Caenorhabditis elegans: one gene and its partner. The protein of the gene in region 1 interacts with the protein of each later gene in a pairwise test. Each region holds a gene or a part of one and is shown on either strand. Other genes may lie near its edges.

Evidence for each region.
Region 2: the proteins of ztf-20 (region 1) and nab-1 interact in a two-hybrid assay, tested with the Caenorhabditis elegans proteins (one large-scale study listed by BioGRID).

The regions. Positions count from the first base shown.
Region 1 is NC_003283.11:18,957,016-18,961,697, reverse strand, and holds ztf-20 (C2H2-type domain-containing protein), read left to right. Parts: upstream 1-1,525; coding exon 1,526-1,607; intron 1,608-1,650; coding exon 1,651-1,769; intron 1,770-1,853; coding exon 1,854-2,047; intron 2,048-2,108; coding exon 2,109-2,294; intron 2,295-3,051; coding exon 3,052-3,226; 3' UTR 3,227-4,131; downstream 4,132-4,682. Other genes in the region: Y39B6A.43 (DUF4124 domain-containing protein), read left to right, coding at 1-147, 282-597; hrg-10 (DUF833-domain-containing protein), read left to right, coding at 4,392-4,521.
Region 2 is NC_003279.8:4,227,977-4,235,595, reverse strand, and holds the start of nab-1 (Neurabin-1), read right to left. Parts: upstream 6,020-7,619; 5' UTR 5,928-6,019; intron 5,711-5,927; exon of another isoform or gene 5,709-5,710; 5' UTR 5,682-5,708; coding exon 5,589-5,681; intron 4,833-5,588; coding exon 4,737-4,832; coding exon of another isoform or gene 4,653-4,736; exon of another isoform or gene 4,454-4,652; coding exon 4,371-4,453; intron 4,023-4,370; coding exon 3,834-4,022; intron 3,101-3,833; coding exon 2,893-3,100; intron 2,525-2,892; coding exon 2,362-2,524; intron 2,116-2,361; coding exon 1,909-2,115; intron 1,711-1,908; coding exon 1,073-1,710; intron 884-1,072; coding exon 536-883; intron 77-535; coding exon 1-76.

The DNA of each region.
Region 1 (4,682 bases):
ACCAATTCAATTTGAGCCAGCTTTCAAGCAAAATGGAGTACGAACAGAGTCTAAGGAGTACTCGAGATATCAACAAATTGCTGATGAGGAACAAGAATTTGTGGAGGCTACTGGTTCTATGGATCCTGTGGTAGAAAATTTGCAGAAGTACGGAATTCGAAATTAAATATAAAAATTTTGAAAAAAAAATTTTTTTTTTTTGAAAATCTCAAATTTCTATTTTCTATTTTTCAATAAGAAATATCATATTTAATGTTTTTTAACAAAAGTTTTTTTTCCAGAAACCTTGCCCCATCACCACCACCGCTACTAAAACGTGTCACCTTCCCACCGGAACCCCAACAATCCACGTCATCAACATCGGCTGAAAACCTTCACGAGCTGAAATTACAGCTTATTCGACGAGAAATGCAAAATCAGGACAGATTTTCGGCGGTTTTAGACCGGGCCGACGGGCTTTTGGCTAGAATGGAGCAGAGATTCGGTGTGGAGCACCACCACCATATTGTACATCAGGAACAAGAAGAAGAAGTGTGGGATCATGAACAAATTATTGAAGAAGAAGAAGTTATTGTGCAGGATACGATGGAATATTGAAATGATTTTTTAAATTTTTTTTAGTTTTTGAAAATGCGAAAAATTTAAATTTTGAAATAAAAAATTTCAAAATTTTTTTTTTTGGATTTTTGTTTGAATTTTTTTAATTTTCAAAATAAATAAATAATTGTTTTTTTTTTTCAATTTTGAGTCACTTTTACACAATATGGTTTCGAATTTCCATTATAACTTAACGACAATTGTAAAAGTTGAGCCTTGCCATGAAATCTACAGTAACCCGCTGGTTTTCTTGTATGTTTTTGAAATCAGGAGATCACAGCGGTTCGAATAAGTATAATCATGACTAGGTTTCGAATTCATTAATTTTTTTTTGAGTTTTGGGTCCTGCCACGAAAACCAAAAAACTAGCGGAACTCGGCAAATTTCGATCGAAATTTCTAGTTCATAATAGTTTTCAAATTGACATGAAATGCGCGGTTTGAATGAGTATAATCACGACTATTTAAAAATTTTAAATTTTTGGGTCCCGCCGCGAAAATCAGAAAAACTAGGATAACTCGGTGATTTTCGATCGAAATTCCTGAAATTTTATAGTTTTGAAATCAGCATAAAATGGCGGTTCTAATAAGTATAATCATTACTAGACTCCGAATTTATTTATTTTTTCGAGTTTTTGGGTCTCGCCACGAAAAGTGTGAATTTTCGAGCAATCGATTTCATTTGACATTATTAGAAATTAGTATAAAATGACGGTTTAAATAAGTATAATCATGACTAGGTTTGAAAAGTTTGAATTTTTGGGTCCGGCCATGAAAACTTCTGGTTTTCGTGGTGAGACCCATTTTCTGTAAATTTTTGGAATCAGAAGACCACTGCGGTTTGAAAAAGTATAATCATGACTAAGTTTGAAAATTTCAGAAAATATTCGAATTTCTGGGGGGTCCCGCCACGATCAACTAATTTTCAGATGGAAAGCTTCTTAGAACACCTAGAGCAACTCAAACACGAATTTTCACAACTACCAGACGTTCATCTTTCAGAAGCAATAGGTTTGTAGAGACGAGCAAAATTTTTTTAATTTTTTGAAAAAAGTACTTCCAGAACGTATGGACGCAGCAGTTGAAGAAATGACACAAAGTGTGATATTTATTGAGGATAACTTCCAAAATACACAGGAAGAATGTCTAGTGGATATGGGAAAACATATGGTGGTACGTAATTAGGGAAAAGTTTGGGAAATTTGGAATTTTGGTCGCTGCTAATTTTTTGGGCGCTGCAATTTCTCATCATTTCAGGAAGATTTCTTGGATCCATCCGCCGCTGATTTTCTCGGTCACCTGGAGCCGTCTACGTCATCGCAGGATTTCATCTACTATGATGACGTGGCATTAGACACTACTACGTCATCGTCGTTCGTCACGTCACAACCTAGAGAATTGTACTGTTTTACGTGTGGAGATGCATTTAACAATCGGAAAGGGCTTTACAGGTATATTATATTTTAATTTAAAAAAAAAACAGAAATTTTCTTTAAAAAAATATTTTCTCAGACACGGAAAAACCGCCGAACACGCGACACGACCTCCTCGCCGAAAAATTGAGCGAAAAATTCAAATTCCCGCCGAACCGCCAGAAAAACCACCGGAAATTCCGAAAAAATCGATAAAAATCTGCGGGGAAAAATCGATTTGTGCGGAATGTTCGGGGAGTTTTCCTAATCGAAAAGCACTTTACAGGTGAGAACGCCCAAAAAATTAGCAGCGCCCAAAAATTAGCAGCGCCCAGAAAATTAGCAGCGACCAAAAAATTAGCAGCGCCCAAAAATTAGCAGCGCTCAAAAAATTAGCAGCGCCTAAAATATTAGCAGCGCCCAAAAAATTAGCAGCGACCAAAAATTAGCAGCGACCAAAAAATTAGCAGCGCCCAAAAATTAGCAGCGGCTAAAAAATTAGCAGTGCCCAAAAAATTAGCAGCGCTCAAAAATTAGCAGTGCCTAAAAAATTAGCAGAGCCCAAAAATTAGCAGCGCCCAAAAATTAGCAGCGACCAAAAATTAGCAGTGACCAAAAATTAGCAGCGCCCAAAAAATTAGCAGCGCCAAAAAATTAGCAGCGCCCAAAAATTAGCAGCGCCCAAAAATTAGCAGCGACCAAAAATTAGCAGCGACCAAAAATTAGCAGCGACCAAAAATTAGCAGCGACCAAAAAATTAGCAGCGCCAAAAAATTAGCAGCGCCCAAAAAATTAGCAGCGCTTAAAAAATTAGCAGCGCCAAAAAATTAGCAGCGCCTAAAAAATTAGCAGCGCCCAAAAATTAACAGCGACCAAAAAATTAGCAGCGCCTAAAATATTAGCAGCGCCCAAAAAATTAGCAGCGCCCAAAAAATTAGTAGTTACCAAAAACAGTTTCTATTGATTTTTGCAGATTTTTAATCGATTTTTCTCTAAAATTTACAGATTTTCACGATTTTTCTTAAATTTTTAAATATTTTCAGACATGGAAAACAAACAAATCATCAGACACATTTTCAACGTGGAATGAATATTAAAGGAGGATCAATTCGATGCGAGAAATGCGAATATAGCAGTGATAGTGAAAAGAACTTGAAACGACATTGTCAGAGAAATCATTCGAAATTTTCTGCAATTTCTGATGAGATTTTATTGTAAAATTCTAGTTTTTCATCACCTTTTACCTCGGGTAGCAACTTTGCAGAGTTTTAGTGCAAAATTCCGTCAAGTCCGGTGTTTTGAGTACGGTAGTCGGTGTTTGCGTGCTTTCGGCGCTACAGTACCCAAAATTTCTCAAATTTAACTCTAGAAGCCTATAAATAGACGGATTAGCTCAGAATTCGATAAAAATTTCGAATTTTTCAGTAAAGTATACAAATACCAAATGTTAACTGCGGAAAATACCATAAAATTCTAAATGCTTGAAATTTCAGCATTTTTTGAGATTTTTTCAACCTTTGCAGTGTGAAGTACCCGAAAATGTTCAAATTCAGCGCTAGAATACCGGGAAAAACGATTCTCACTCAGAATTCGACGGGAAATTCGAATTTTGCACATTAAAACATGAGAATTCTCAATTTTTAGTGTCGAAAATCAATATAAATCCAAAAATCTGAAATTTCAGCATTTTCCGAAGTTTTAAACATTTTTTCAGTGTGAAATTCGAGCTCTCCGACGAATTTCACATCTATATCATTCTTTTCAGCGTTTTTGTGCAAAATTCCGTAGAATCCGGTGTTTGCGTACTTCCAAAACTACAGTAACCCAAATTTCTAGATTTTGGGCTAGAAGCTCCAGAAAAAATGTAAAAGGCTCAGAATTTAAAGGAAAAATTGAATTTAATATGAAATTTATGGAATTTTCAAAAATAAAAAAATTTGGAAAAAAATTATTTATCTTTTCTTTTTTGTATTGTTCCAGTGTATATATTGTTTTATGATCTCTGATTATTGTTCTCTTATCTGATATTTTTTTGTGATAAAGAAAATGTCATCATTTTTTCCCGCGTTTCTGTGTGTACTTTGTATGTTATTTTCCCCGGGAATAAACTTTTTTTCTGCAAAAACTTTTGCACTGAAGCCTATATTGTGGTCATATGTGTATTGTAGCACTGATAATATTCAATGTTGAAAAAATTTGAAAAAAAATTTTTTTTGAAATTTTTTTTTTTGGAAATTTTCTTTTGGAATTTTTCATTTCTTCAAACTACTTCTCATTTTTGTTCAAAATTTGCAAATTTCCAACACTTTTCACCCAAAAATTCAAAAAATTCAAAAAATTCAATTAAAAATTCATTTTCGGATTTTTTCCAGAGTTTTCCAAAATGTGCATTGGATTTATTAAAATTGCTACTTCACCCAGTGAAAAATACAAATTAATTATTCTGAACAATAGAGATGAGGATTTGGACCGGCCGACTACTCCCATTCACTGGCACGATGGGATGCTGAGTGGTAAGGCTGGAAATTATCACTTTACAGGGAAAAATTGGAAAAATTGAAATAAAGAAATCGAATTCCGCATATTTGAAAACCTATGTGAAGGTTTTAAAAAAATTAGAAAATTTTAAAATTTAGAAAAAAAAATTTTTTTTTCAGAAAATTGAGAAAAATGT
Region 2 (7,619 bases), on another chromosome or scaffold:
TTTCAATTTTATTCTTCATTCCTTTTACTTTCTTTTTAATTAGAGAACGATCCGAGTGATTTTGAATTCCCATTGCCTAAAAAATATTGATTCAGATAAACAATTTCAAGTGGTGTGATTTCCCAAAATTGTGGAAAATTTGAAAAAGTTGACGTCACATAAGGTTTATAGAATGCACCTATTTTAAGCCTTGTATATTCTAGGCACTTTTCAGGTAGGCAGACTGTGCCTACTAGACCTGAAGGGTTTTTGGGTTTGGCACAAGAAACTGAAAAATCAAAAACAAAAGTTCAGTCTCTCTTGCTCGAAAAGTGACATTTCTGTTGTTTTTATGAAATAGAGTGTAACATAAATATTGAATTCATTTCAGAATTTTCAGGAATCTTTTTCTCGGTTTTACCCAAAAAACCGAAAAGTTTAAAAAATTTTAGCACCTTGGTGCCTACGAAATAGTTTAACTTTTCGTTATGTAATTGCAGCGTTTTTTTTTTCTACCCGAGTTTTCTTGCGCCGGGATCGTATACATCTTACTCACCTTCAGTTTATTTCCGTCGAGCTCGAGGAACTTGGCTCCATCGATCTTATTAATGGTGAACTCTGGCACATATTTGTCCAAGCCCATTGAAACGAGCAACTGACAAACATCGTCCACCGTCCAATGAAGAGCTTGAAGACCAACTGGTTGACACGTGGCACGCCAGAACTCGTTTTCGGCGTACTTCTTTCGGAGTGGGAACAGAAGTTTGCGATGCGTCAATTTATGTGGAAGAGCCGGAGATGCTGGCTCGGAGATACGAGGGACTGGCGACTCGCATGGTGATGAGTACTCTTCTGTCCAACTACTTCCAACTGATACTTCCGCATCTTTTTTGGTTGATGGAGTCTGGAAATGAAAATGGGTGTTATAATTAGTTTCTTACTTGGGCTTAGGCTTAGTCTTAGTCTTAGGCTTAGGCGTAGGCTTAGGCTTAGGCATAGGGCCTACGCTCAAGCTTAATTTTAGGCATTATGTGAAAACTGTTTTAGAATGAAGTTTGAAGATGAATGTTCTTTCATATTTTCTCCAACTTACAATAGTCTCCAAATTAACCATAACAGCCTTATCCTCGTGAGGAAGCTCTCCACCTGGTCTATACGCCATTCCTTCATTCCTCTTCTCAACTTTCTCCTTTAACTTCTCTCTCAACTCGATAAGCTCAAGATTCTGAATAGAATGCCTTCTCTCTTCAGCTTCTTCCAATTTCGATTCCAACTCATCAATTCGTTCTTTCAATTGACGAACTAATGATGCATAATGTACATCCTTATCTCTCAATTGTTCCACATGATTCTCTTCTCGATTCAACAACTCTTTTTCTCTTTCCTGATAGTTTTTAATCATATAATTTGCCTGCTCATTCTGCTTTTCCAGTTGATCACAATGTGATTTCGTTGAGCTCAACACTTCATGATATTGCTCTGCTTTCTTATGAGTAACATCAAGTTCCAGTTCAAGAGCAGCAATCTTCGAACGAATCTCAATTTCTTCTTTTGTGATCATTGAAGTTGTCGGACGATCCTGTTCAATTGGTAGCTGTGGCATTTGAGATGGTGGTGGTGGCGGCTCTTCGATATCGTCTTCCTCGTCTCCCATCATTCTCATTCTGTCGTGTTCAAGACTTTGTTGAATTAGCTGAGCAACTTCGGATTCTTCAAGGTTTTGTTCGCGACCTGCAATACATTTTTTTTAAATTGGAAGATAACTGGTAAACATAATTGAAATATTTTCTAGATGCTTTTTTTCTCTACGCTTGCGCGGAATATGGTGTATTGAGTCGCTGTTGCACACAAAAATATTTGTGTTATTTCACGGAGTCATCAATGCAATATATCATACGCGTTCGGCACAATACTCCAAAAAAAACCAACCAATTGTGAAAGTGACTCGATTGCTGGTGGATCTCAACGTGTTTGCAGCATACAACTGTGAGACACCGACCAAACTCTTTCCATCGACTGAAACAATTTGATCGCAGACACGAATTCGTCCATCTCGATGAACAGCTCCGCCAGGTGTGATGCTCTTTACAAAGATTCCCAGCTTTTCAAGACCCGAGTCTGCACCAACACCCATACCTGAAACATAACGAATTTATCCGAAAACCGTAGGCAGGCAGAAAGCATATAATTTTTTCCTAAACAGTAGCTTCAGGTTGACATTCCTTCAAGTTTAATTAAGCGCTTATATCTCGGTTATCTTTGGTTATGCCGAGAAAAGAAAGTTTCCAACTATAAAAATGAAACAGAAACTGTGAGCAACATCCGATTGTAACCGAGATACAAGGCTTCTAAGTTATGGTAAGCCACAATACAATCACTAACCAATAATAGAGACTCCAAGTCCCTCGGCACCCTTTTCCAAATCAACTTCAAACAAATCCATTCTTTCAAGTCGTCTCTCCAATTCATATTCAGCACAACTTGCCACCGGATCAATGTCTTCATTCTTGCGATCGTAGTCTTCAACGGAAAACGCCGAGAAGACCTGAAAGTGAAAACGTTTAGATATTATGCAAATGAAGATCGCTTTCTCTTTCTCTTTTTCTCTTGTTCCTCATCTCTTATCATATCAATAAGGTGACCTAATTCGAGATTGTATAGATATATCTATTAATGAATTAATATCACCTTGCCACATATATGTAAACAAAAGGAAATGTTAGGTTGTGGTGGTCAAGTTTCAGTGAATGCATGTTTGCTCTATTGATAGTTTCAAAAAGATTTTTCTCGGCCACGTTTCAATCTGTCTTGGCCTAGAAAAAGTATAAAATTATTTTGAACATCATACATTCCATAGAGCAAACTTGCAACAACAAAGAAACATGAGTGAATGGGAAAAGTGGGTGATCTTACCGGAATAGGTGCAGTGCTGAACGAGACCTTTCGATTCGTTAAATCCACGTCAGGCCTCTCTGGACTCAGACCCCTCCGTGTTTCCATGAGTCCTCTGTTTTCTGATGTTGTTTCAAGTTCTGTTTCCTTTGGTGTTTTGACGACGGCGTATGTCGTGTGCTTCACTCCATTCGTCGTTGGTGAGATTCCATCGTTTTCCTCGCCAAAACTGAAAAAAAAGTTTTGATCGAAGAAATTTGATTATTTATATTAACAGCAACTCATTTTCATGAAATGATTGGTTTTTTCAGGTGCCTGCATATATTAAATTTACTAAAAAAACAATCTGGCGCAAATCGTATCAAATTTTTAAATTTTAAAAAATGTGAATGTCCGATAAAAAATCGGCGTTCTAAAAATATATCTAGACACACTAAATGAATTTTTATCACAAACACAGTGCGGTTTTTTAAAAACTTAAGGTTACGATAGATCCTTCATAAGCTTGCCAACAATGGGCTTGAAAAGGGTTTTTACGGTTCCAACGAGCCGATATGTGAGAAAACTCGGCCACGCTATTTTAGCAATTTCTGTAATCTTAATAGATTTTTCAAATTGAAAAATTCGAAAATTTCAAGATATTATGTGCCATCACTATTCTGAAAGATCCAAAGAAGACCGTGTTCCTGAATGAATCAAAAATTTTACTTTTAGTTTTGTACTTTGGAAAAGTCACAAGGATCTTTTTTTTAGCAAATTCAAAAAAAATCCCGAATGAGAAATCTAAGAAAATATGCTGGCCAAGTTTCTGGTTTTTTCTAGGCCACATTTTTTTTCGAAAAAACACAAATATTTGTTAGTCGCAACTAAAATACTTCAGCGCAAGAAAAAAAACTATTATAGAGAAAAATAAAGAAACTCATGCGAGAAAGTAAGAAAAATAAAAGAAGCGAAACACATACGGTTTGCCATTTCCTTCGAATTGCCTCCGATATATTGATCCATTTCTCCAATAGGGTTCAAATGAATTCATATTAATATTATTATTATTGTTGTTGGTTTGAAGTCCTCCATATTGCGACGTGGCAACCGTATTTTCGAACGAATACTGCTGTGTGGAATCGGAATATGATGACGGAAGAGTTGATGATCTGAATTGGAAAAAGAAAAGGCATGCGAAGCTGATAATGAAGCAAAGAAGAATGTTAGTTGAAATTAAAGAAAAAACAGAGATTTTGGTTTTTTTTTCGATTTGAAAATTCAAAAAAGTTCCTTTAAAAAAATTCTCAACTAATTTATCTGAATTTCGCACAGTTTCCTAGAATTTCTGAAATCTAGTTGCAGGCGACTTTTTGTAACTACCAAAAAAAATTAAAATACTTTGGCCCGCGAACCGAATGGAGAAAATTGCGATTGATCAAAAAAAATTACAGTTACATTTTTTTGAGAATTAAAAAAAAGTTATGGTATGGTAACAAATCCTTAAAAAAACAACTCACTTATTTTGTATAAACCTAGACGTTGCCGGCGATGATTGGATCCGATCGAGATCCGCGGCCAAATCAGAGAAATTTCGTTCGACCTGGAAAAGTTTTCGAGTTTTCGATTATGTGTTATATGCGTGTGTGTCTGATGGGGGAAAGGAGTGTGTGTGTGATATGAGTAAATGCCATTATTTTTGAATCTATTATCGATGAGCGGATTAGTCAACCGAACAGTATAACAGAGACGGGGGTGTTGGAGACACAAAACATTGACTAACTGACACAGTCTTTGAATTTTTAAATTCCATTTCTTTTTCCAGAAAACAGAAAGAGAAGGAGAGAGAGAGAAAGAGAGCCATGTGATTGTTTGATCACACATACCTGTGACATCGGACTCGGCGGACATTGAGATGGAGGTTTTGGGGGTAATGGAGGTGGTGGTTGACGTTGAAGACGTGGAGAGTAGAATGATGGAACCTAGAAACATTATTTTTTAATTGACACTACAGTAGTCTGCTTGCCCAATTTAGAGTTTGTTTTGGAAAAAGCGTGGCGGGCATCTGATGTTTGAAAAAGTTAGCTTACTATTAGCTCAGAAGTTGGCAAAATTTGGGCAAGACTTTGAAAATACTGGGTTTAAGCTGTGTTTAACAAAACTTGAGTTATAAATATGGTAGAAGTCTAAATCAAGTCGACAGTGTTTCCAACTTTTGACCCAAATTAATAATTGTTGAGCAAAACTTGATCATAGGGAAACCTCTTTTTCAGACATTTTTCAGACGTGACGTCAAATTTCTTAAACGTGAGGCTGTGAAGTGATACAGAAACTGGTAGTCAGAGTATCTCTTTTCCGAATGATCTCCGAAAACTTCGCCAAATTTAGACGCAGACTTTTCAGCTGGTGATCTAAAGAGCGGGGACGTCATACTTTTTCACTTTTCCTGTGAGCAAAATTCCAGCAATTTTCATAGATCAAATCAAGAGAGGGGACTTATTCTTTGAAGGCCTAAGTGAAGAATCTACTAGCAGGCAAAACTTGTTCATAGGGAGCTACAGATTTGATCTATATAGCCAGGAAAATCATTTTGCGAAAAATTGCATAAAAATTCTGGAATATATGCTCTAATCCACAATTTAGTGAGTTTTTTCAAGAAAAATAAATAACCGTAATGCAAAATAGCAAAATGATTTCAAAATTCGGAAACCAATTATTATCATCCAAAAAAAACTCACGTCTTGCTGTCTCTCAAGCTGCTCAAAAAGAGCCTTTGTATGTGAGAATCGAGCTCTTGCGTCGTCTGACAGCAGCTCGGAAGCCGTTGTCATCTCGGCTGTTTGGATTGAATTAGGCAGCTGTAAAATTGAATTTTTCAAAAGGTGGAAAGGTTGGGGAGCGGATATAATTCGTATCAGTTTAGGGGAACTGAGGAGCGAACGGGCGGTACGGGAAAGGGTGTCAATATCCGAGGATATTGCATAACCTTAACAATAAAGGACCGTTTTGCGCGCATGTCTTCTCCGGTTGGAATGACCTGAAATGATATTCCCCCGTGAGATTTGTCTGCGACTCACCGTCTCGCACACTATTTTGTTATCAGCAGCGGTGCGCACGACGCATGCACCGCCCACTTGCTGTTGTTGTTGTCCCGGCGACGTCTTCTTTTCTGAAGAGATTTTCAATTTCAGAATTGATTAGAATATTTCCGAGGCTTGGAGAAAAGAAGAAGAAGAGGAATGACAGAAGGATTTACGGGAAAGTGAAAATATCTATTTATTCATAATTATATTCTTTTTCGTCTCCCGGGTGATAACTGTGATAAGGATCAGGTTTTTGGGCACCGGACGGGGTGGTTGGATGAGGACTAATTGGATTGCGTTCATTTGTGTGAAGAAGGAAAAGCGAAATTCGGATTCAGAGCGGAGGCAAGAGGAAAGTGGAAGAAAAAAGGAGATTAAAAGGGAAAAGGTGCCAAAAAGTATAGAGAGTCTAGACTCGATATAATCAAATCAATTATTGAATTAGAATTGTCGCAAAAATCAGAAATTTCGCAAATAATTCTGGGGATAAAAATTTAAAGTTAGATCACAGATACGAGGTGTTCCTAGACGTAGGAAGGCACCTCTTATTCGCCTTTCTACTCGCCCTATCTGAACCGCACAGCCGAACCATTTTTGAATTCAATTATCAATTCGCCATATTTTACGGTACATCAGTGCAAATGCGCTCTACATTGATCCAAAAAATTAGTATTTTTGAATACTTTTTTTGAAGTCACGAAATTGGACCACCGATTTTTTGGCCCAAAAAATTTAACCAAAAAAAAATAAGCTCAAACTTCAGGGTATCAGATAGGCAAATTTGACCGTGAGGGTGTCGGCCAATAAGGTTTGATGTTTGAATTTATTTTTCAACTAAATCTTATTTTGAAATATTAGGAAAACAAAATGTTCTACATATCCTTAAAATCCAAAAAAAAATCAGAGATGAAGGAAAGTATGTTTTTGATGAAAAATTCTCAAACACCCGACATTCATCAATCATCACAGAACGGGGGCTCTCAATCTTTGTTTTTTTCCTCACTTTTCTTTTCACATATTTATTTTTACAGATATAAAATTAAAAGTGTCCATTCTAAGAAAAGATTTTTTAGAATGAATGAAGGAAATAATGAGAAATGAGGATGGAATTGAGCATGTAAACATGACGACGAGGGAGGCTATAGATATATTTACGGACTGGCAAAAAATTGGAAAAATATTTACTTGGAGCCAGAAGCTTTTGGGAAATGAGTGTGAAAAATATGGAAAAATCTGGAACAAATAGCAATACTTTTCGAGTTTTCTTTCAGCATTCTAGATAAGTTTGCAAATAAAAAACCCAGCTTCTATACTGGAGGGTGTTCTTAAATTGACGAAGGTTGCTGAAATTGGCTGAATTTAAATTTTCCGAGCGCAAATTGTTTCAGGTGGGAATATATTTTCAAGCCTTTTTTATTGCTTTGGCTACTATTGATTTGAGTACTACATTTTCAGTTTAAAAAAAACTGTCAAAAAAATTCTGCAAAAATCAATTTTGGAATTTAAAATCTCTAAACTTGCAAAAAATATGCTGAAAAAAATTTTTAAAATTCAAACTCTGATTTTTTTCAAGTTCCAATAAACTTTGAACTTTTAAGAATAAGAAATGTCAAGAAACTGACGATGTCTACAAAAATAAACGAGCCGGAATGAAAGTGCGCAACGGGCTGGAAGCCAGTGGAAAAC